Alligator mississippiensis: one gene and its partners. Each later gene encodes a partner of the first gene's protein in a complex. Links are inferred from orthologs where the notes say so. Each region holds a gene or a part of one and is shown in the gene's direction. Other genes may lie near its edges.

Region 1 (7,921 bases):
CACCAGTAGGTTTTTCATGGACTGAAAGCACATAAAATCCAAATCCATTATTGGGTATGTCATCTATGCAATAGCTGTACCCATCTAAAAGAACAACCAAAAGAAAATAGGAGGTGGTTCAAAAGGTTGAAGTAAGGACGGGAAAGGTTTAAGTTAGATTGGGATCCTGGTAATAGACACTCATATAGATACCATCATATGGTGCACCGATGAAAAATGTGAAGATGTACGTTTCAACTTTAATGCCTTTGTCCTACTATATTAGAGACCACCATGCAAGGCCAACATTAGCATTAGAGAGCCATCCTTTTCTGGAGAGGAGATTTAAGTGTGAGAAAAGTGTAAAAAATCCAGTTGAATAAGCAGTTTATGTGAACTTGAATCTGAAAGCTGAGGCAGCATACTTTAGCTTAATAGGAGCTAGTGTTTTAGGCACATGGATTTTTTTTGTACCGATGTATCGCAGAATCAGTGGGGAGAATGGTCTAATTAAAACAACATTAAAAGCAGAAGGCTGTTCAGGGTGATGCATGGAGCTAAACAGGAGTTAAAGATGAAGGGTGTTCCAGTGCTAAAGCTGGGACATTAAAAAAAAATTCACAAAACCTGGTAGAAAGGAGCTACAATAGCAGCAAAAGATCTTTACAAGATCTTTGTCGTAGTCTACAAGCACAAGAGAGGAATAAAGGGTAGAAACACTAGTATGTAAAGATCACCTGTCAATATGTTCTACCTTTTGTTGAGAAGGAATGTTTGTCTTTTGATAAAGTGCTTCTTGGAAAAACTATACTAATAACTAGGCTCCCTTTGTATTACATTTTAGAGCAGTTTTTTGTAGTAATTAAATACCTCATCTAGCACTTTCAAATATTTCTCCAAAGCAGCTGTTGTCAAGTAACTGCTGTTTACATACAGGAAAAAGGAGGAGCAAGGGAGGAAAAAAATGCCAGTAACACTTGCTTTATTTGCTCACGAGAAAGGAAGGCAAGTTGTGAATTTCCAAAGGCAAACAGGTGCATGTATACTGCTGGCCTTTAAACAAGAATACAAACTTAGGGTAGCAGCCTCAACCTAAAGAAAGGGACCAAAAACCATTATAAATGCTTAGAACAGAAAAATACCACATCTCTGCAGTAAAAGATCTGAACTAACTAGCGATAAAGAGAGGTTGTTAGCTGTGTTAGTCTGAAGTCAGACAGAAGGCAGGGCAGAGTTGCGCCATATAGACAACTAATTCAGAAATACGCATGTATAAGGTGCAACTCCACTATAATTTACAGATATTTGCTTCTGTAGGAAAATACCATATTTTCTTGCATATAACCCACCCCTTCTCCCAAAAAAACAGCTGAGGAAAATTGGGGTGTACCTTATATGCAAAGAAAAGGGATGCCCATGGGCCTGAAAATTTGGAGAAGGGGAGGTAGAATGTTGGGAACCTCTCACCACTACCTCCCCTACTATAACATTTCCAGACCCACAAGGAACTTCCCTCTCTAACCACACACCAGATCAGACAGGCACTTGGGGTTGGTATGCAGCCAGACTTGGTACACCAAGTCCAACCCAGCACATGGGCCCAGACGCAACATGCCAGATCTGATCCTGTGTGCTGGGTCCAGAACAATGTGCCAGAATGGACCCAGTATGCCAAGTCCCCATACTGGGTTTGAAGCCATATGCTGGCTCCAGGGCCACACATTAAGTCTGACCCCATGTACTGCCTGGGACTGTATACTAGTTCTAGCAAGCATGTGGAGTCGGACTTTCGGCCCAAGATCCAGTGCATTAGGTCAGTCCACAGACCCAACCAGCATGCAGGGCTGGCAGCAGTCCCAGCTCCCAAGCTGCTGCCACTCTTACCTCTTTCAACAAATTTTTCTTCTTCAGGTTCCCCTTCAAAGGTGAATACTATAAATGAGGGTGTGCTGTATGAGAAAAAATACAGTAGCCTGGTGTTACCTACTTACATTTATGCTAGTGAGTAGAGGTGCACTGATAGATCAGCACTGATAAAAGGAAAATTTATGTTATTGGCAATCAGCTTTTTTTGGCTGATGTGGCTGATGTCACCAATAAATGCCCCATGCATGCGTGCAACTGCACGCATGTGCACAGTCAAGAATGCAGCCTGGCAGCTTGGAGAGTAGCATCCAGCTGGTAAGTCTGTAGGGGAAAGGGCATAGGCAGATTGAGGCCCCCACAGCAAGGGAGGGAATAGGGCAGGGGCAGGCACTGCCCAGCTTGGGCAGAACACAGGACAGAGCCATGGGCGGCTCATCCAGGGGGTGCAGGTCCCACTGCTGCATGCACCCCTGGGGGAGGTATAGGGGCATGTGCCTCCTGGATTTGTGTGCGGGTTGAGGGCAGGATGCCCACTGCAGGATTGATGCTGGGGGCTGTCTGTGCTGGCCTCTTCCCAGCGGAAGGGGCTAGGCAGGAGCTGTGGGCAGGGTGGGCAGGGGCAAGGCAGGCAGCAGGGAATTCTGGGGTTGACATGCCCCCCATGTTTCCTCTGAGGGTGCGAACAGTGGTGGGAGCTGCTCTCCTCCTGCCTGGATAAGCTACCTGTGGCTCCATCTTGTACCCCACCCTGGCCAGGCAGCACCTGCCTCAGGCCCTGTTGCACTTTCTCCCTCGCTGTAGGGGCCTCGATCTGCCCTCACACAACCCTCCCCCCCTAGACTTACTGGCCAGATGCTGCTCTCCAAGCTGCCAGGCTGCATATTGGCTATCAGATCAGTATCAGCTGATATGGCTGGTAAATAATTGGCATCAGCCAAAAAAATCTTTATCAGTGCACCTGCACTAGTGAGAGACACCAGGGGTCTGTGCAATTATGCAGGTGGAGCAGCTCCTATTGTTTTTAACAAATTATTTTAGCAGTATAAGGATAAGAGTATTAATGGAGTATTGATAATGGGTATTAATAAACCCAACCATTTTGGATTTATAACTAATTAATTATAAACCCAAATCAGTAACACATCCTTTTCCCCCACACATGTATGTATTTTTCAAGGGCTATAGGATTTGCTTCCTCTAAAGTCTGCATAGCTGTCTTGAGGGTGACTACTGTAATATTCCTAAGGTTATACTGTGTTGGCTTTTTCATTTTAGTAGCTGCAGGAGCTGCATGGAGATGCCAGTTTGATCAGCCTTTAGGATGGGCTCCATCAGTGCACAGGGCAAATGCTTGGTTACATAACCATTACTTATTCCAAAAATATCTTGAGGGTCTGGTAAATGAGTTATTCCAAATACACATTTAATTTATACAGTTTTTAGAACCAATTTTCAGAAGTAAAGACAGAAGATTAAGGGTTAGAAGAGGCAGGTTTACTAGCAAACGTTTCTAAGGCTGAAGAAAAATTACAGATAGAAGGTTTTGGTTTTATTTATAATACAAGTTATGACAGGACCACCATTAATTAATATGGCAGCCCCTTGCAGAAAAGGACAAAAAATTTTGCACGAAGCCTGACACTTGCCAAAAGGGTTAAAGGCAACTACGTTAACAGCAGCAGCTCAGGATCCACCTGGCTCTCTGGATGTATCTTAAGGTAAGTAGGCATGCAGCTGAATCACTGCAAGAGGCAGCTTAACCAGCTATTCCTGGAGCTGCTTGCCTGGCTCAGCAGAGAGGAGTAGAAGTGGTGTGAAGTCCTGGATTGCCATGCAGCTCATGTTCACTGTGGTGCTTCCTTGTGCAATTCAGGTTCTCAAGTGTTGCCCCCCCTGCCCAGGCACAGCTGACCGGGGGTGGGGGGAAACAACTGGAGCCCTCGTTTCTCCAACAGCAGGAGCAATGTGTCCTCCTTGGGCTGTCCAGCTGCCATATCCTGGGCAGTTCCTGAAGCATCCTCCTGAATTAAGGCAATCAGGACTCATAGTAGAGAAGATATCTTTTATTAGACCAACAAGATGTTTGCAGAAAAATTGCAAGCCACTTAATCCTTTAATCCTTACTAAACACAAAACGCCCACATCAGGCATTGGAGAAGATTGTAAAAGTTCTCCTGGGTAGCAATGAAAGTTTGTATTTCCTAGGATTTCACAGAGGAGTCAACAGATGGAAAACTCCTAAGCGATGAACTGACTGCCCAGAGTTTTGACTCCTCTGTGAAATCCTATGAAATATGAACTTTCATTTCTACCCAGAACTTTCACAATCTTCTCCAATGCCTGATGTGGGTGTTTGTGCCCGGAAGCTTGCAATTAAAGCTTTTTTTTTTTTTTGCAAAAATCTTGTTGGTCTAACAAAAGATATCACCTCGAGTAGAGTTCTGATTGCCTTTTCCTCTATACCAATATGGCTACAACCTGGAGACCTGACTCCTGAACTAACACTCAGGAGTTAAACCTGCTATGTCAACAGGCAATGTGAATCGGCAGGGTGCTGCCATGGACAGGGATAGCCCAGCTCTCCTCACTAATATAACTGACACAGAGGCGGGCATGCCCACATCAGGACAGCAAGTATCACATTTTTTTTGTCATCATAGAAAATGCCGGTTGGGAGGGACCCCAGGAGGGCACCGAGCCCAACCCCCTGCTCGAAGCAGGACCATCCCCAACTAGATCATCCTGAGCCAGGGCTTCAAAACCTCCAAGGACTCAAGAGGCCACGACCTGTGCCAGCGTTTCGCTACTCTCCTGAACAAGCCCCTCGCCCACGGGCCCCGCCCCGCAGAGAACAGGCTCCGCCCCAGCCCGGGGGGTGGCGGGAGCACACAACCCTTAGCGTCGCCCCTTCTACAACTCAGTGGGAGGGTGAAACGTCTCCTGTGTTTTAAAAGCGGCGGCGCGGCCGCCACCCCCCCGCCCAATCAAAAAGAAGGCGCGGGTCCTGCCGGCGCCTGCGCAGTGGTATCTGTCGTACGGCTGATGACGTGACAGGGTGCGACTGGAAGACTGGTAAGTCGCGCCACCATGAAGGAGACGCCGCTGTCCAACTGCGAGAAGCGCTTCTTGCTGCGCGCCATCGAGGAGAGGAAGGTGTGAGACCAGCCCCCCGCTTTCCCGTCTTTTCCCCCCACTTTTCTCCCCGCTGATTCCACTCTCGGCCTTGCAGCGCCTGGACGGGCGGCAGAGCTACGACTACCGCAATGTGCGCGTTTCTTTCGGCACCGACTATGGCTGCTGCGTCGTGGAGCTGGGGAAGACCAGGTAGCGCCGGGCTGGGGGAGGCGCAAGGAGGTGCATGAGCAGTGGGGCGCACGAGGCTGGGGCAGCTGGGGCCGCGTGCAGCCTCCCTCAGTGACGGGAGCCGCGGCTGTAGGGCCGCGCGCAGCTGTTCGGGCCTGGGAACACGGGGGGCGCATGCGCGGTGCCTCGGGCGCGCCTGCCTGGTACTGCGCGTGCGCGCAGGGCTGCGAGGGGGTTCCTGAGGGCAGCTCCAGCCCCAACCCCTTCTGTAGTAGGGCGGGCTCTGCCCAGTGTTGCCCACTTCGTATCATCCTTCCAGCCCTTGTACTATGTACAATCAAGAATAATAAGCGTTCAAAATGTACAATGATTTTTGAGGCAGCTCACTGATGCAGGATGGGTGAAACCTGAGTCACTCTCAAGGGAGTCTTGACTGACTTCTGGGTTTGCTGTCAGCACTTTCTTATGTCTGCCTGCCTTGAATAAAGAAATGCTGCAGCTTTGACCCAGTTCTCACTTAGTGCTGAGTTACGGTGATAAATATAAAGTAAATAAGAAGAATTATTTGCATCCTGCTGCGGCCGAGGTGGTTAACGTGTGCTGGGAGATCCCCTGGAGAGGCCCTGCTACAGATGAAGGCAGGAGGCCCCTCCATCCATACCAGCCTGACCCTGGGGGGAAATTCCTTCTTGACCCAAATACATCAGTCAGTCTGACTTTTAGCAGGATGAGACCCTCTTAGCTAGGACCTTCTGGCTTTAAGTCCCAGCAAGAGTGCTGGCACACTCCAGTCTCAAACCTCAGCCATGTCTGTAGCCAACTCCTGGTTCCTCTGAGGAGCGCATGGTGGGGAAACAAAACCCTATCACATCTGAGTTGTCAGTGACTTGGGGCATTTTTACATGTGCTGTGGGATGCAGTGCCAGGAACTTTAGTTAGCAAGCTGCTCTAATTGCATGTCATGTGTATTGGTGTCCCTGCGCTGAAAGAATGGCAGCTGGGCGCTTTGAAATAGAGCTCATTGGACATGTTTTATTTCAAAGCACCCTGCCACCATTTTTTAGTGCAGAGATGCATGGCAACGCTGATGCACGTGACTCGGAAGGCTGCTGGAGTGTGTCAGTTTCCACGCTCCAGCAGACCTGATTGATCGAGCCTGCTCTGACATGCTGGATTTCCAGTGCATTGGAGCAGGCTCTGCACACATGTATAGGAGCCCTTGGAGACACCCTCGCTCCCTCTTACATTGCCAAGTGCTATGTTACCCAGGTTACAAGTAGCCTTGTGGATAGACTGCTGCTAAAAGGGGCAGAAGCAAGTCTCCAGGCCCACTTTTTATTTGCTTGTACTTGAAAATGCAAAAGCAAATGTTTATCCCAAAGTCTGCCTGGCTACCTCTGGCAGCATAGTATAGAGTCTCACTTATACCAGCTGGGGAGACGTAAGAGGCAGGAAGAGGGTGGCACGCAGATTGGCAGCAGGTCTTTTTGAATTTGATGAGTTCTCCAAATTTCCCTCCAGCTGTACCCAAGATTTACAGGTGGCTGGTTGTAATAATCTAATAAATGATTTCTGGTTGGATTGGATCTAAAGATCATGTCTCCCCCCAAAAAGTCCCTTGTGTAATAGTGCAAACATCAGTGGTAGTGCCAATACCAAGTTAAACCAGTACATGAGGTTTTACAGGATTGAAGCTAGCAGTTACATACCCTTCATGGGTGTATGGGGTTTCACAGTGTATTTAGTTGTAAAGCAGGCATGTGTAAACAAGTGTTAACATAACTTTGGATATTTAATATCCTACTTGTGACTTTGTACAGTAATCTCAAATGGAGCTTTGCAGTCCCCTATAGATGGTATCTCCATTTTTCATGCGGGGGGTGGAGGGGGGGAATATGAAAGATACAAAATTTGGTAAATTCTTCTAGCTCACAGTGAGAATAAAAGCTACATTTTAAACTCCACATAGCACTCTACTGCCTAGTTTCTGTTAGTGCCCTAGTAATGGTTACCTTGAATACATTTAGCTGTCTTGCTTAAAAAATAAACTGAAAAAATTGGGAGGTGTAAAATACAACTCATGTATGTTGTGCAGTGTTTAACTTCTTTCTGTCTTCATTCTGAAGCCTGTGCTTCTGGGGGTGATTTTCTTTTGCAGAGTCCTTGGACAAGTCTCATGTGAACTTGTTGCCCCAAAGCCAAACCGGGCTACAGAAGGTATACTTTTCTTTAATCTTGAGCTCTCTCCAATGGCTTCACCAGCTTTTGAGCTGGGCAGGTACGTGGCTTTTGCTGCAGTGACAGCAGGTAGGATTGATATAAGGATGACCATGGTGTCATTGTTCTCCCTTATTAATAACTCACAACTTAAACATGTGCATATTATGTCTTCTACAGGCAGTCTGAATTGCTGGTGAAGCTGAATAGGTTATTAGAAAGATGCCTAAGAAACTCAAAGTGCATAGATACTGAATCTCTTTGTGTTGTTGCTGGTGAAAAGGTATGAAATACTCTGAAATCCAGAGCTTTTTAACATTAGGGGTTTAACAGGTTGCATATAGGATTTGGTTTCTGTTGTCTCTTGAACAATAGTTCCTATGTTTGTTTTAAAGCTCTAGCCCAAGTGACTTGTGCATATGTAGCTCTAAGCATGTAGTTAGTGGGCCTATGTAATAGTAAATGTTTGTAGGAACAGAATACTTTAACTTTTTACTTACTAATAGCATGTTACCCAGTATGGAAAACTAACATGCCGTTTCTCATTCAGTATGTT
Region 2 (7,562 bases), on another chromosome or scaffold:
CCCTTTCTCGGCAGCACTGGGTGCTGCAGCCCAGGCTGGGGATGGGGCTGGGCTGTGCCAATGCTCCTGCTGGCACCGACCCCGCAGGGTCCTGGCTGGAGGGTCTTGCCCCCACGCTCGGGCTCAGCCCCACACTGCGCTGGGTCAGGAAAGGATTTCCCCCTGCTCAGACTGGTGCAGATTGGGGGGTTTTGCCTTCCTCTGCAGCAGGGGCACGGCCTCGACCTGGGCACTGGAGTGCATTTTCCAGGCTCCATCCTGTCTCAGCAGGATGCTGCAGGGCTCTTGGCCCCTGCTCCTCCTTGTTGCCTCGGGCCTCAAGCTGGGCTGGCCATGCCTCCCAGGTCCTGCCTGCCCAATTCTGCTACAGCTCTTATCTGGCAGGTTCCTCCTGGGCAGCCCGGGCAGGTGAGGCCCCCGCCCGTGCCACCCCCTGCACGACTGACAATCGCACCCCACGCCTGGCCCGGCCGTGCCGCCAGTGCCACCAAGCTAACCCAACCCGCTTCCTGCCGGGACCAGAGGGCAGCACCTTCGCTGTGCCCACCCTGCACCCAGGAGCCCCCGCCACACAGGAGGGAGCAGGCAGGGCCCAGGCACGTGTCGCACTCCACATGCCACCAGAATAAACACGTGTGTTTTGGTACAGCAGCGTCAGGGTGTTGGCAGGCGCCGTCAGACCGGTGGGGCTGTCAGGTGGCCCTTGCGGCGACCTGCTGCCTCCCCATCCTTCCTGGCTGCAGTTCGCGCCCCAGGGCAAGGTCCCTATTTCTTTGCTCCTCGGAGGCTGCTGAAGCACCAGTGTTTAGACCAGCAGGTCCAAGCCGGCCCCTCTGCGGAGCTCCACACGGAGCCCAGCTGGACCATGGGCCTGTTCAGCTAGGCTCCCCTGGGCCAGACCAGGCAACAGCGAGGAGGTGGCCGCATTGGTTAAAAACGGGTTTTATTTGACACAAAAAACCCAGGGGGGCGGCCAGGCAAGGCCCCCTCTGCAGCAGAGGTGCTGGTGGGGCCGTGGCCTGTGCAGCCCCGTGCACCCTCCCAGGGGCTGCCTGCAGCTCACGAGGGGCAGGAGGGGGCAGAACAGACATCCGCGTTTGGACCTCAGGGCTCCGGGCACCGAGGCTGGGGAGGGTCTGCGCTGGTGGTCAGATGGCCAGCAGGGGTGTGTGCCGCTGCGTCACGCACGGGGGTGTGTCCCAGCTCAGGCCAGTGCCGTGGGGCAGGTGCGTGGATGGCAGCAGGACGCGGGTGAGCCAGTGCCTGGGAAGGATGCAGCCCATGGTGAATGCTGCAGCCTCCCAAAGCCACAGCCCTGGGCCCCCTGCACCAGGGTCTTGGGCTCGGCCTAGAGCCCCCCTCACCTGGGCACATCCACTCCGAGGAAGACCCGCCAGTTGTCCCAGGCGCCGAAGCTGTACGGGTTCCGGAACGCCTGCGGGAGCAGAGACGGGGAACGTGACGGTGACTGACCGTGGCCGCCTGCCCCCCAGGCTCCCTGCCCCCCAGCTCCTACGCTCACTTTGCCCTTCTTCTGCAGCCGCTGCCGCTCCTTCTTGTTGATGTGTCTCTCGATGCTGGTCTCCCCGCGGGTGATAAGGGCCGCGTGCCACAGTGTCAGCGCCCCCAGGGCCAGGGCCACAGAGCTGGGGGCAGGTGGAGGTTGGGGTCAGGGCACTGAGTCCAGGCAACCTTCCCCGCTCTGCGCGCCTGGCTGCATGGAGCTGCCTGCTCCCAGGGCCCAGCGCCCCCGTTACCTGCACAGCACCCACAGGTAGACGATGCTCTTGTGGAAGGCGCGCTGGCGGAAGGAGAAGGCCGGGGGCGGTGTCTGGTAGTAGGTCTGCAGGGAAGGACAGGTGGTTGGTTAGGCCCGTGGGGGCGGCTCTGCTCCCTCAAACCCCACCAGACGCCCCGAGAAACCAGGACCAGCCAAGAGGACCCTCCCCCGCCCCGCGCGCGCGCACACAGAGCAGACGGACACTTGGTGAAAGCAGCGGGGCAGCAGGGCAGGGAGCAGCTGCGTGGCAGCCTGGGGCATGAACCCCGCAGGCAGCAGGCAAGAGCCACGAGCTGGGGCCTTGGCCCTTGGGGCAGCTCCGCGCCCGCAGGCGCAGCAGAGCCCAGGCGCAGGCACATGCGAAGCAGCTGCCAAGGCCCGGCCTGCTGGCCCCGGGCGCGGGGATGTCCCACCTGGTTGGCGGCTGCCTGCAGGCGCTCCTTCTCGAGCTGTTTCATTCTCTGGGGGGATGGAAAACACGGCGCAGTTACAGGCCTCACGGCACAGGCGCCCCGGGGCCAAGAGAAGCCCAGGGCCATGTCTGCCTCTCCCTCTCTGTCTGCCCTGGAAAGCTGGAGCGCGTGCAGGCCGAGGTCGTGTCACTCACCTCGATGGCCGCATAGGCCTCACGGAACATGTCCCAGCCGCTGATGCTGCAATAGATGCAGCCCATGGTCATGAAGAGGCAGAAGGAGAAGAAGTAGCGGTGGTTGTAGTGCCCCACGCAGTTGTTCAACCAGGCTGCCCCGGATTAAAGATGGGTAACAATAGGAGGGGGCACCGCGCCACACCCCTGAGCCGGGCTGCCGTGGCGCTGCTTGGACTCAGTGGGGCAGGGACAGCCCCCCGCCTGCCCCCAGTCTCAGGCAGCTGCAGCTCCATCCGGCGCCTGCTACACCTGGTGCGCGGGGACCTGGAGTCTGCACCTGAGCCCTGCCCCTGGCAGCCTCGCCAGACACCCCTTGGCTCCAGCGCCATGTTCCCCAGGGGCCCTGGGACACAGCCCCCAGCAACACCAGGGCTCGGGGCTATGCTGCCCCTCCCACACGGTCAGCCCCAGCGCTCGGTGCACCCCAACCCCCCGACCCTTTCCCAAGAGCCAGGCTCCCTAGAGAGGGGCCAGCCTGGCCGGTGCTGCAGAAGGATACGGCAGTGATGGTCCATCTTGAGCACGCACCTGTGAGGAGAGTGGACGGCTGTGAGCGCCTGCCGGGGGTCTGGGGCGAGAAGCCACTGCAGGAGGGAGGGAAGGGGGGCGACCGCGCTGTGCTGCGGTGGGGGGCCTGTGGGACGCGGGTCCCTACCTGTTGCAGATGCTGCAGTGGTGGGTGCGCGCCGGCTTGGGGGCGATGCACTTGCGGCAGATGGAGACGCCGGTGAGGTCGCCCTTGGCCTGCAGAGGGAAGGGCGGTCGGCGCTCGAAGCGGGCCCCCCCGGCCCCCCCAGCCCCCGCGCCCTACCTGCGGCGGGTAGCCCGGGGCGGTGGTGATGGCCATGTAGTAGTGGAAGACGATCATGAGCAGGTTCCAGTGGCCGTAGCTGAGGTGCCAGCAGACCCAGGCGGGCGCGTAGGTGCGCAGGATGAGGGGCAGCAGGCAGACGTAGACGATGGCCACCACGGAGCTCGTCAGCACGATCACCAGCGCCACGAACGCCTGCGGGAGCAGCGCCCGCGCTAGCCCCGGGGCCTGGGCCGGCCGCCCCCCCGCCCCCCCGGCGCACGGCACTCACCACCCCGAACCAGCGGGTGACGTGGTCCACCAGCCAGTACACGGGCTCGAAGAGGGCGTCCAGCACCACGTCGCCGTCCGTGAAGGAGTTGTACAGCAGCGAGCGCAGGCTGAGCCGCCCGTAGCTCCACAGCTGCGCCGCGCGCCGCGCCAGCCGCCCCCGGCACCGCCGGCCCAGCCGCAGGCACCGCAGCGCCAGGCGCATCGCCGCCGAGAAGGTGCGTCGCCGGCTCCTCATCCCTGCCCTGCGCGGGGGCACCCGTCACGGCCCGCCGCGCCCGAAACCGGAGCCGCGCGGCGCGGCGCGGCGCGGGGGGGCAGGAGCTCGGGTGAGCCGGCCGGGGGGGGGCGGCAAGAAGTAGGGGGACAAGGGGGGGCTGGAGCTCAGGGGATGAGGGCTGGGGGGGAGCGGGGGGGCAGGGGCTGAGGGGGCAAGAAGTGAGCTCAGGGGACAAGGGGGGGCTTGGGGGGGCGGGGGGACAGGGCTGGGGGGGCTGGAGCTCGGCGGACGAGGGGGGGCTGGGGGGTGGGGGGATGGGCTGGGGGGGCTGGAGCTCGGGAGACAAGGGGGGGCTTGGCGGGTGGAGCTGGGGGGCGGGGAGACGGGGCTGGGGGGGCTGGAGCGGGGGGTTGGGGGGTGGAGCTGGCGGGAGCAAGAGCTGGGGGGCCAGGGCTGGGGGGGAGGAAGCGGGGGGGGCAGGGCGGACCCCACGCGCGCGGTCCCGGGGGGTGCGAAGGGCAGACACGCGCCTCCCCCCGCGCTGGCCCCGCCCCCGGCAGGCCCCGCCCCTCACTCACCCGCCGCCATCCCGGCCCGGCGGCCCGGCTGTCAGCGGCGCGGGGCCATCGCCGCTCGCATTGCGCCTGCGCGGGGCTCGGCGCGCAGGGCCCGTCGGGAACTTCTCCAGTGCGAACTGCAGGTCCCGGCGGACCCCGCGCGGCGCTTGCACGTGTGGGATGTCACGTGCCGGACCGGGCCAATAGTGCGTCGGCTTGCAGCGGAGCGGGGGATGGAGGCCAATGGCAAGGCGGCTTTTATTTCTCGTAGCGACGGCGCGGAGCAGACATGGCGCCGCCCGTGCGCTACTGTATACCTGGTAGGTGTCGTCCCCCCTCCCCGCCCGACAACCGGGGCCCGCCCTTCATGCGTCCCCCTCGCTAACCCCCCGTCCCGTCCCCGCAGGGGAGCGGCTGTGCAGCCTGGACGAGGCGGCCGCGGGCAGCGGCACCTACACCCGGCGCGGGCACGTGCACTCCGCGCTGGCCGGGGCTCTCCTCGCCCGCGACCTCGGCGGTCCGGTGAGCGGAGCGGAGCGGAGCGGGGGGCACGGCTCGGGTCCCAGCCTGCCGCGGGGACCCTTTCTGGGGGTGGGGGGGCAGAGTTGGGGTGAGAAGCTGGGGGTGCTGGGGGCCGAGCTGAGGTTCCAGGTTGGCCGGGCCCTGGGCCTTCTCTCCTGGCTGCCTTGAAGATGAGGGGGCCCGGCTGTGCAGAGTGGTGCAGGAGCCGCATGGGCTGTGGCTGCGCTGGGGCTGTCTCCGCGAGCGGCTCCAAGCTCACGGGGCACGTCCCTCCTGCCTGGCAGCTGCCCGTGGTGTCCGTGGTGCGAGACGCCGAAGCCCAGCTCCTGCCTGACGTGGGCGCCATCGTCACCTGCAAGGTAACGGTAGCCGAGCGCCCAGCCCGCTTGGGTGGGGGGCAGGTGGGGCTGGGCTTGCCCCGTGCTGCGGGTGGGCAGCCCCCGTGCCCGTCTCCCCGTCACGGGCTGGTGCAGGAGCCGTGTGGTTCAGCCCCGGATCCGTCTGGGTCCCGGGGAGCCCCTGCTTCCCACCGAGGGCTGCCCCCGTAGCCAGCCACGGGGCTGTGGGCTCCCAGTGCCCTGCTGGGGGTCACAGGGCGGTAACTGATCCGCTCGCACTGGTGGCTGGGAGGACTGGGGTGGCAGGAAGGATGCTGGGCTCCTTAATCTCTGGAGCTGGGGTTGCTGGAGCCGTTGGCTTGGGGCAGAGGCTTTGCACGGGGAAGAGCTGGCTTCTCTGCCAGTGCCCAGGCGCTGGGTCGCTCTGGTCCAGAGGCTGATGGGCGACGGGGTGGCGGTGCCGTGCTGGGCTGGGCTGATGCACTGGTGCAGGGGCAGGTCCTGCACCAAGGTCCAGGCTCTGCTGACCCAGCCGTGGGCCGGGCCCTGTCTCCCTGCAGGTGTGCAGTATTAACTCCCGCTTCGCCAAGGTGCACATCCTGTACGTTGGCTCCACGCCCCTCAAGTCAGCTTTCCGCGGCACCATCCGGTAGGCCCTGGCCTGGGTCAGGACTCCCCACCCCTTGCCCTGCCCCTTCCAAGGCAGCTGGCCCAGCTTGGCGGCTCTGGGGTCTCCATCTCTCCTTCCCCCCACACCCAGGCCCAGCCTCACATGCACCCGGGGGCCTGCAGCGAGGTCCCACAGGCAAGCCCAGGTGGGCAGCGCTGCCTGCGGCTCTAGGGGCGGAGCAGGCTGCACTCCCAGTGTTAAGCTCCCCATCTCCCCTTACAGGAAAGAAGACATCCGAGCCACGGAGCGGGACAAGGTCAGTGGTGTCCTGCCTGTGCTGGCAGCGTATGACAACTGGCATCTGCCCCTCCTCTCACCGCAGCCACAAGGATGGCCGGGGGGAAAAGGGTGTTGCTGACCCAGAGGGTCCCAGCCATGGCTTGCATCCCTCTGGGGGGAGGTGGGGTCCAGTGAAGGGGGGAGGGTCTATTCCTGTGGAGGCCTGGACTGCCTGGGGCTGCTGTCAGGTCCTGGGGCTCAGCAGCCTCCCCCATGGCTCCTGGTACTCACCCCAGGAGCCGGTGGCCTCCCCCACCCCCTAACCAGCCCATGCTCTGCGGCAGGTGGAGGTTTACAAGAGTTTCCGCCCAGGGGACATCGTTCTGGCTAAGGTGGTATCCTGCCCTCACTGGGGTGCGCGAGGAGGCAACAGGGCCTGGTGGGACTTCCCTCTCTCACGGGTGGGGGGGTGTCCTGCTCGCCCAGCACATAACCTTGCAGGCCAGAGCCCTTTCCTTGACCACCGGAGCAGATCTCGCTGGGTGACGTGCAGTCCAACTACCTGCTGAGCACGGCCGAGAACGAGCTGGGCGTGGTGGTGGCCCACGGCGAGGCAGGTATGAGCGGGACTGCGGCTCCAGCAGCATAGGCCCCTTCAGTGGCTGGGGTGGGCTGAGCTGTGTCCCCTGCTCCCCAGGCTGCATGGGGAAACAGGAGGAGCTCTCCTGGGCTCTCGGTGACACTGCACTGGTCCCTAGGGGCACGGCTGGTGCCCATCAGCTGGTGTGAGATGCAGTGTCCCCGGACGCATACCAAGGAGTTCCGCAAAGTGGCCCGTGTGCAGCCCCAGTTCCTGCAGACCTAGGCTACCCCGTGCCCCCCGGCAGGATTACCTGAGCCAGGAGCCAGCCGGAGCCCCCTTCACCGAAGTACCTGCAGCATCACCTGGACTGGTGCCCACGTGCGCTGGGCTGGGACTCAGGCCTCCACCAACACCTGCCAGGAACCGGATGCAGCTCTGGCTCCCTGGGCCCTGCCCGTCCTGCCCCCAGGCAGGATTTTAGATTCCCAAGCTGTGAACAATAAAGGCTTTCCAAACCCCTCCCCTCCTTGGTGATTCCCAGCCCTGAGTGGGGGCAGGGTTAGAGGTTGCCTGGGAGAAGCCGGTTCATGGCCCTGCTGGGGTTGCAGCCTGTGCCAGCACTCCTGCAGCACTTCCTGGGCCGTCTACACCAGGGTGTGGGGAGCAGTGGACTCCTGGCTTCCAGGGCTGGGGCAGAGAACAGGCAACCTCTAGCAGCTGCAGGGTCTTCTAGCCTGGGTCTGTTGCTGTGTAGAGGATGGCAGGGGCTCAGTGTCCTGCGGCTGTGAAACCTGTGGGTCCCCCCCAGGCTGGACCAGGTGGAGCTGCTTTGCAGTGAGTCTGCCCTCCCCCCACCTGGTTGGAGCAGCAGGAAACAATGGTGGGCATTGAACGACTATTCTGGAGAAGGGGCCTGGGTCAGAGAACAAAAACAGCTCCTTTC
Region 3 (6,723 bases), on another chromosome or scaffold:
CTCACGTGCTGCATCATGTTCTTCCACACTTTGTTCCTGCTTTGGCAGCCTGGGCCTTCCCCTTTGGGTCCATATCAGCTGTACAGAATGGTCAGTGATCAGTGACTAGAAGTTGGTGCAGGTTAGCTGTTGCACCTCTTTCAGTTTGCCTGGTGAGCCCTTGTGTGCAAAAAACAGTTTTTGTGTCTGTTCACATCTGTCTGAACATCTGCTTGTTCTTCCAGGTGCTGGAGAAGACCAAGCAGTTCATTGACAGTCACCCTAACCAGCCACTTGTAATTCTGGAAATGGAGAGTGGCGCTTCAGCAAAGGTAACACAGCTAGTCCCAATACTCTCCATTCCCGTGTCTAGGACTCCCTGAGAAAGTTCAGAAACCTGCCTCTCCGTTTGTGGCCCCTGGAATGGAGGGGGGATTTTCACAGCCTCATGTATTACAGAGCCTGCTGTGCAGGTGCCCAACCATGGCCAGGGCTTTGAGATGGTCGTGGAGGGCATAATTAGTTCATGTTAGGTCTGTGCACTTTTTCTGCTGGCTTAACCAAAGCCACCTCCTACCCGGAAGTGTGCAACACCTCTGTTTGTCCCTCAGACTCTCTTCTTCACCATCTCAGATTCTAGTGTCTGGATCAGGATGGGGATCCCTGCTTCAAGTAAGGGCCACCCAAGTGGGTGGCTAGGAATTAGAAGATGAGGGAAAATGCAGGCTGAAAATGTTTCTAACAGTGGGGCCTGCAGGGTAGTTACCCAAGAAAAGCAATGAAGCTCTGTCAGCTGGGATATTGCAGAGAAATGCAGTGTATCTTGCACTGGCTCCCATACAGCAGCTAGGTAGAGCCTTGAATGAGTGCTAGAAAAGTGTTGTCCTCCAGCTCCCATTTCTTGGATTCTGCAACCCATCCAGCTGGGCTTGTCACAGACCAGTGCTGTCCCTACCCTTCTGTCTCGCATCATGAGCTGAATCTGTCTATTCTTGTCAAGGTGGAAGGGGGGGTTTCCTACCCCCTAGAGAAGCTTGTTGTGGGTAAACCCCCTTGTTTGCTGGTCCCAGCAGTGATGAGCTGCTGCCAGGCAACAATAGGAAATGAACAGTGTCAATTAATGATACTGTAGACTAACCATCAAGTTGTAATGCCCCAATTTAAATTTCTGCATGGGCAAACTCCCAGCTGATCCTGTTTTGTTTATAGGCTCCCACTCACCCTCTTACATGGTTCTCATCTCCATGGTATCTAAATGCTGTTCATGTCTGTGTGGGAGGGGAAAATTGCTATTTTGTTTTGGGGACCATTACTGCAGTTGGTACAGATGCTGCATCTTCAGTGTTCCCAGCAGCAGGCCCAGCAGCATCTCTGCATTGAGCTGTTGGCACATTCTTTGCGCAGTAGCCAATTGCCTGCACCTCTAAGGGATGACAGCAGCGCACAGCATGTGGATTGCAACAGTGGGCTGCGTGACCCCTGGGGACTGCAGCAGCCAGCTGTACAGGTGGAGCCGTGAATATGTCCCCTAAGAGGCATCATCAAATGACCTCTAATTAGCCTGTCTCAGGAGCTCTCTAAATACAGCAGGTCTTTCTATGTGAGATATGAAGTGTCAAATCTTTTGCAAATAGTGGGTGCCTGGCACTCAAGGACTTGCCTATACCTAGTCCATTAGTCTAGGTGTGCTGTGGGAAAGACTTTTGTATCCTTGTAGCATTTGCACTCTGACCTCCATCCCTGCTGACTCCAGCTGCTCTTAAGTAGAGAGTAGCAGCAGGCACAGCAGAGTTTCCAGGTCTCCCAGAATGGGTTGCCCTTTACCTCAGTCCAGCAGCCTGCTAAGGAAAGGCTCACACCACCTCTGTCCTAAGCTGCTGTCCCTTCCCCTTCCTAATGTATCACTTGCTTGCAGATCATTTTCACTTGCTTTATGGTTGCAGAGCCATACATTTGTTGGCCCCCAAACAACCCAAGATGGGAAACAAATCAGGCACTGAGCATTCTCCTGCTCCAGTCCTGCTGCTGGACAGGGAACATGAGTGAAGCTAGGGAGCCATGTCTCTATGTGACTTCAGAAGCTCAGATCTCCAGGCATTGAGTCTGGTGTGACCAGGCAAGCAAGCTGCTTCTGCTCTTCCTCTGATGCCAGCTCCACAGCCAGCCTCAAGAAGGGTACATGCAGCTTTACTGCACCCAACAGAAACCAAGCACTGCAGAGATGCAGACTGCTGCAAAAGCGAGGTACAGAAGATACTGACTCAGAATGCCTGCCTGGGAGTAGAGTGTGTTTGCTGATATCAGCAGGACTGTTGTAGCTATCTAGCAGCAAAGGAATCTGTGTAGGGATTTGCAGCATGTGTTGCCAGGCCAGCTGAAAGATGAATGATGCCGGCTGGTTCTTGGTGTAATTTTCTCTGTATCTCCTTCTACAGGCCTTGAATGAATCTCTGAAGCTATTCAAGACTCATTCTCCTCAGACTGCTGCCATGCTTTTCGCAGTAGATAATGAAGCTGGCAAGATCACCTGCTTATGCCAAGTACCTCAGGTAACACTTTTCCAGAGCCCTTTGGGTGTGTCTGCCCAAAGCATTTCAGGCTGAGCTTAAGAGCTCTTCCTAGCAGTAGGACCTGCAGATTTCCTGTACAGCTTATGCTCAGGCAGTCAGCAATGGGGCTTCCATGTGTCCTCTGTCTCTCATTATCACGTCTAACTGGGATACTGGTAGTAGTTGTTGCATTAGCGTAGCTGTGTCTCAGCTAAATTACATTTGGAGCCATACAAGAAAGCAAGTTAAGTACTGTACTGCCAAGGAGGTAGAGCTTTGTTCTTCCATCAGATACAGTTACTTGAAGTAGTGTTCATCTAGGCATCTTCCTCCAGCAGCAAATGCTGTTGTGTTGTAATAACCTAAACCCTGCCCTCTTCTTTTCCAGGAAGCAGCCAACAAGGGCCTGAAGGCCAACCAGTGGGTGCAGGAAGTGTCAACACTGATGGATGGCAAAGGTGGTGGGAAAGATGTCTCAGCCCAGGCAACAGGCAAAAATGTTGGGTGCCTGCAGGAGGTTCTGAAGCTGGCCACGGACTTTGCTGAGCTCTGCCTTGGCGAGCTGAAGAACTGATTCCATGTCCCTGTGCTGGCTCGTTGCACAGGTAAGAAGCGAATGCTGTCAGCTCTCTCCTTTTCTCATCAGCCTGGTCACCGGGCTCCCATTCACTCTAGCGACATCGCTGGAGACAAAGACGCTGCACATCATTCCTTCTGAATCCCCTCGCTGAGGCATTAACAAACTAAAAGAAGCATCATGGGTTAGAGATCTAAACAAGGAAGAGAGAGAGACAGGGGCTTAGAAGTTGTAATGCCAGCTCCAATCTTGTTGTATGTCTGGGAAGCCTGTTCCTTGTCTGTAAAGTGAGGATAATGCTGGCCTCTCTGCAAGGCCTGCAGTAAGGATTGCACTAGCAGTTTGTAAAGTCTTCAGAGCACTGTTATGATGTGCTAAATATTAGTAATAAATACTGTCAGCCACAGAACGCATCAAAGCCAAGAGTCTGCACACAAACTCCTGTCCCCTTGTAACCACTGGAGGCAGGAGCCCACCTCTGGAAAGTTGCTGGAATCAACCTGTCACCCAACTCCCTGACCTCTCTGTAGATAACATGGAAGCCCTTTACTCACTTTATTGACAACAGTAATAGTGTATTTAAATTAATGTGATGTAGGTGTACCTCACTGCCTTAGCTGAGCAGACCTACCTGTATGGGAACATGAGGAATAGGTTCAGTGTTAATAAAGGCCATCTGCAATGTGTGCCCTGTTAATTTGTCATTGAACCAGGCCAGGGTTTGCAGTTTTGTTAGGGTGGAAGAAGTGGGGGTGTGCTGGGAAGGCAGATGTTCAGTCTGTGGTTAGAGGGGGTTATGGCTTTGCCAAGAATGGGACTGTGCGCCCTGCGGCGCCGTGGGTCTAACAGGTGCTTCCCCTGGAGGGGCGCGGGGCCGCCCGTCGCTGCAGGGGAGCAGCGGGCGAGGGCGCAGGCCGGGGCCGGTCGGGCCCCGCTCCCCGCCATGCTCGCTCGCTCCGCGGGGCCAGGGTCGGGGCCGGGCTGGGGGCGGAGCGCCCTGAGCGCGGGGCCGGGCGCTGAGTGGCTGGAGCCGCGCTGGGGGCGGGGCGCGCAGGCCAGGCCCCGGCCGCGCTCCGGGCCTGCAGGGGGCGCTCCGTGTAGGCGGGTGAGCGGCTGGGCCTATCGGGATCGGGTGGCCGGGGCCATGCCGCTGGACCACCGGCGCGTGCCGGGCCCGGAGGAGTCGCAGTCGCCGCTGCTGTACGCGGCCGAGGAGCCGGAGCCGGAGGAGGCCGAGGAGGCGGCGGGGCCGGGCCGGGACCCGGCGGCGCCGCGGCCGCTGTTCGCGCGCGCGGGGCTGCTGAGCCAGGCCAAGGGCTCGGCCTACGTGGAGCTGCGCGGCGGCACCAAGGTGCTGTGCGCCGTGTACGGCCCGCGGGAGGCGGGCGGCGCGGAGCCGGCGGCGCGGGGGCGGCTGCTCTGCGACTTCCGCCGAGCGCCCTTCTCCCGGCGCGGCGCGCGCCTGCGGCCCGGCCCGGCGGCGGGCGGGCGAGACCGGGAGCTGGCGCTGGCGCTGCGCGAGGCGCTGGAGCCGGCCGTGCGCCTGGGCCGCTACCCGCGCGCGCAGCTGGAGGTGGCGGCGCTGCTGCTGCAGGACGGCGGCTCCGCGCTCGCCGCCGCCGTCAGTGCTGCCGCCCTGGCCCTGGCCGACGCGGGCGTGGAGATGCACGACCTGGTGGTGGCCTGCGCGCTCAGCCGGCCGCCCGCCCCCTCCGCCGCCGACCCGCCCGCCTGGCGCCTGCAGCCCAGCGAGCGCGAGGAGCGCGACGCCGCCGCCCGCCTCACCGTGGCGCTGCTGCCCGCCCTCGACCAGGTGTCGGCGCTGCTGGGCGGCGGCCAGGGCGGCGCGCCCGAGAGCTGGGCCCAGGCGGTGCGCCTCGGCCTCGACGGCTGCCGCCGCCTCTACCCGCTGCTGCGGCACTGCCTGCTCCGCGCCGCCCGCCGCCGGGCCCGCAGCGCCGCCGGGGGCGGGGGCAGCCACAGCCCGCCCGCAGCCACCGCCTGAGGGCGCACCCCGCGCCGGCGCCTGGAGCCCACGTCGGTGACGACGGGGACAGACCGTGCGGGAAGGCGCCGGCCCTGCGTGTTGCAGCCCGAGGCCCACCCGGTACCAGGACTTGGCACAGACCCCGCCTTCCCAGCCACCCCTGCCCGCACCGGACGCCATTCGTCTCGCAGCTGCCTGTGCCCCTGCATGGGTTTTCAAGCATGTTTGGCCCCGAATGGTTCCTGCCCCTCTTCATGCCTGTTGCAGTCCAGGAGATGCCCTGGAGAATGGCAGACTTTCTTTGCTGGTGTTTCCACTTGAAGTTCAAAGCGGCGCCATCTTTTTGTTGGTAGGAGTCCACTGCATTCAGTAGTCTGGTGCCAACTCGCATTCAACATGTGCTGTGGCTTCCCTGGTCTTAAATTTTAAAGGGAACTCTTTAGCTGGTTGCTGGAGAACAAGTAGTGCTGTCTGGTCAGCAGAAAATCTGTTTGGTTACATGATGTCAAATGTTTCTTTTCTACAATTTTTCTTGTAACTTTTGATTGGACCTTCGCTCTTCCCCAGACAATTGTATTTCTTTCCTGAAAATTGTGTTTTTGGCTCTGAAATTTGTGGAAGTCAAACTGGCGGACGCTACTGTGATTTTGCTCATTTTTTATAATCAAGGACTGACTGCTCTCCCTCTCTGGCTGCAGTTCTTGCTAGTATTGGTTCTTTGCTTATTAATTCCACATTGGCCATACCAATGAACAAGACAGCTCAGTTAATTATCCTTACAGGAATTATTAACAAGATCCTTTGTGTTGAATATGCTTTCATTGTGACCTTTTGGCCCTTGGACACATGTTAACGTGGAGCTGTGTTACTGATGGACTGGACTGGATGATGGTTTGGCTGTTGAGTTTAGACTTTGTAACTAAAACTTGAGCACCAGGTAGCACCGTATCTTGGCAAAATGCTGTTCATGAATAAGATATTTGTATGCCCCCACCCAAGAGAATGTATCCAGGTAATATCTTGAGAGAGATATTTTTTTAATATAATAAATTGTACTTTTTACTGTGAACTTTACCTCATTCTGGCTGTGATCTGTTTTTGAGTCTTAAGTCACCTGTTCCTATTCGGTAAGTCTTTTGGTGGGAATATTTCAGTGAAATCAAGGCCTTTGGAAAGTCCCTGATCACCAGCATTTCAGGCTAAAATGTCCTTCCTTACTCACACTTCTGGTGTAGTTCAGATGGCAGTTTGTGTCACTTCCCATTTATTTGCAGCCTTGAAGCACAGGGATCACTCTGTTTGGTTTGTATACTAACCTCTGCTTAGTGTTGTAGATACCTCTCTGCATTTGGATCTGGATTGAGAGCAACAAATTTCATCTTGGCTATGAAACGGCAGGTTTGAACAGCTTATGATTAGGGACCTACCTAATTCACAGTGGTTGCCTCCAAATTCACTGTCCCAGCAAGACATCGGGTGCCATTTTTGTGGTGGGGGGCACACCTCTGATTGGCTAAATGGCACTTGAAGTCCCACCCCTCCCCAAAAATTGATGGGTGGTCCCAAACGGGCTTGCTTGTTAATGCAGCAATTCATGCCTTCCTTGGGCTTGATCAGGGAATTAAGCCTGG

Evidence for each region.
Region 2: EXOSC9 (region 1) and EXOSC1 share a complex: the UniProt entries of both Homo sapiens proteins name them as parts of the RNA exosome core complex. The link is inferred for Alligator mississippiensis from reciprocal best matches to the Homo sapiens genes EXOSC9 and EXOSC1.
Region 3: EXOSC9 (region 1) and EXOSC6 share a complex: the UniProt entries of both Homo sapiens proteins name them as parts of the RNA exosome core complex. The link is inferred for Alligator mississippiensis from reciprocal best matches to the Homo sapiens genes EXOSC9 and EXOSC6.

Annotation. Positions count from the first base shown.
Region 1 is NC_081825.1:114,555,965-114,563,885, forward strand, and holds the start of EXOSC9 (exosome complex component RRP45), read left to right. Parts: upstream 1-4,849; 5' UTR 4,850-4,932; coding exon 4,933-4,998; intron 4,999-5,074; coding exon 5,075-5,169; intron 5,170-7,306; coding exon 7,307-7,426; intron 7,427-7,545; coding exon 7,546-7,648; intron 7,649-7,921. UniProt on the Homo sapiens protein: Non-catalytic component of the RNA exosome complex which has 3'->5' exoribonuclease activity and participates in a multitude of cellular RNA processing and degradation events.
Region 2 is NC_081829.1:100,691,069-100,698,630, reverse strand, and holds EXOSC1 (exosome complex component CSL4), read left to right. Parts: upstream 1-4,505; 5' UTR 4,506-4,576; coding exon 4,577-4,607; intron 4,608-4,693; coding exon 4,694-4,809; intron 4,810-5,093; coding exon 5,094-5,168; intron 5,169-5,707; coding exon 5,708-5,796; intron 5,797-6,039; coding exon 6,040-6,073; intron 6,074-6,380; coding exon 6,381-6,431; intron 6,432-6,568; coding exon 6,569-6,653; intron 6,654-6,794; coding exon 6,795-6,901; 3' UTR 6,902-7,138; downstream 7,139-7,562. Other genes in the region: MMS19 nucleotide excision repair protein homolog, read left to right, coding at 385-412; palmitoyltransferase ZDHHC16, read right to left, coding at 1,149-1,263, 1,365-1,435, 1,523-1,646, 1,758-1,843, 2,194-2,241, 2,388-2,521, 2,929-2,957, 3,085-3,173 and 2 more. UniProt on the Homo sapiens protein: Non-catalytic component of the RNA exosome complex which has 3'->5' exoribonuclease activity and participates in a multitude of cellular RNA processing and degradation events.
Region 3 is NC_081833.1:34,962,327-34,969,049, reverse strand, and holds EXOSC6 (exosome complex component MTR3), read left to right. Parts: upstream 1-4,133; 5' UTR 4,134-4,249; coding exon 4,250-5,110; 3' UTR 5,111-6,166; downstream 6,167-6,723. Other genes in the region: AARS1 (alanine--tRNA ligase, cytoplasmic), read left to right, coding at 225-311, 2,415-2,528, 2,917-3,102. UniProt on the Homo sapiens protein: Non-catalytic component of the RNA exosome complex which has 3'->5' exoribonuclease activity and participates in a multitude of cellular RNA processing and degradation events.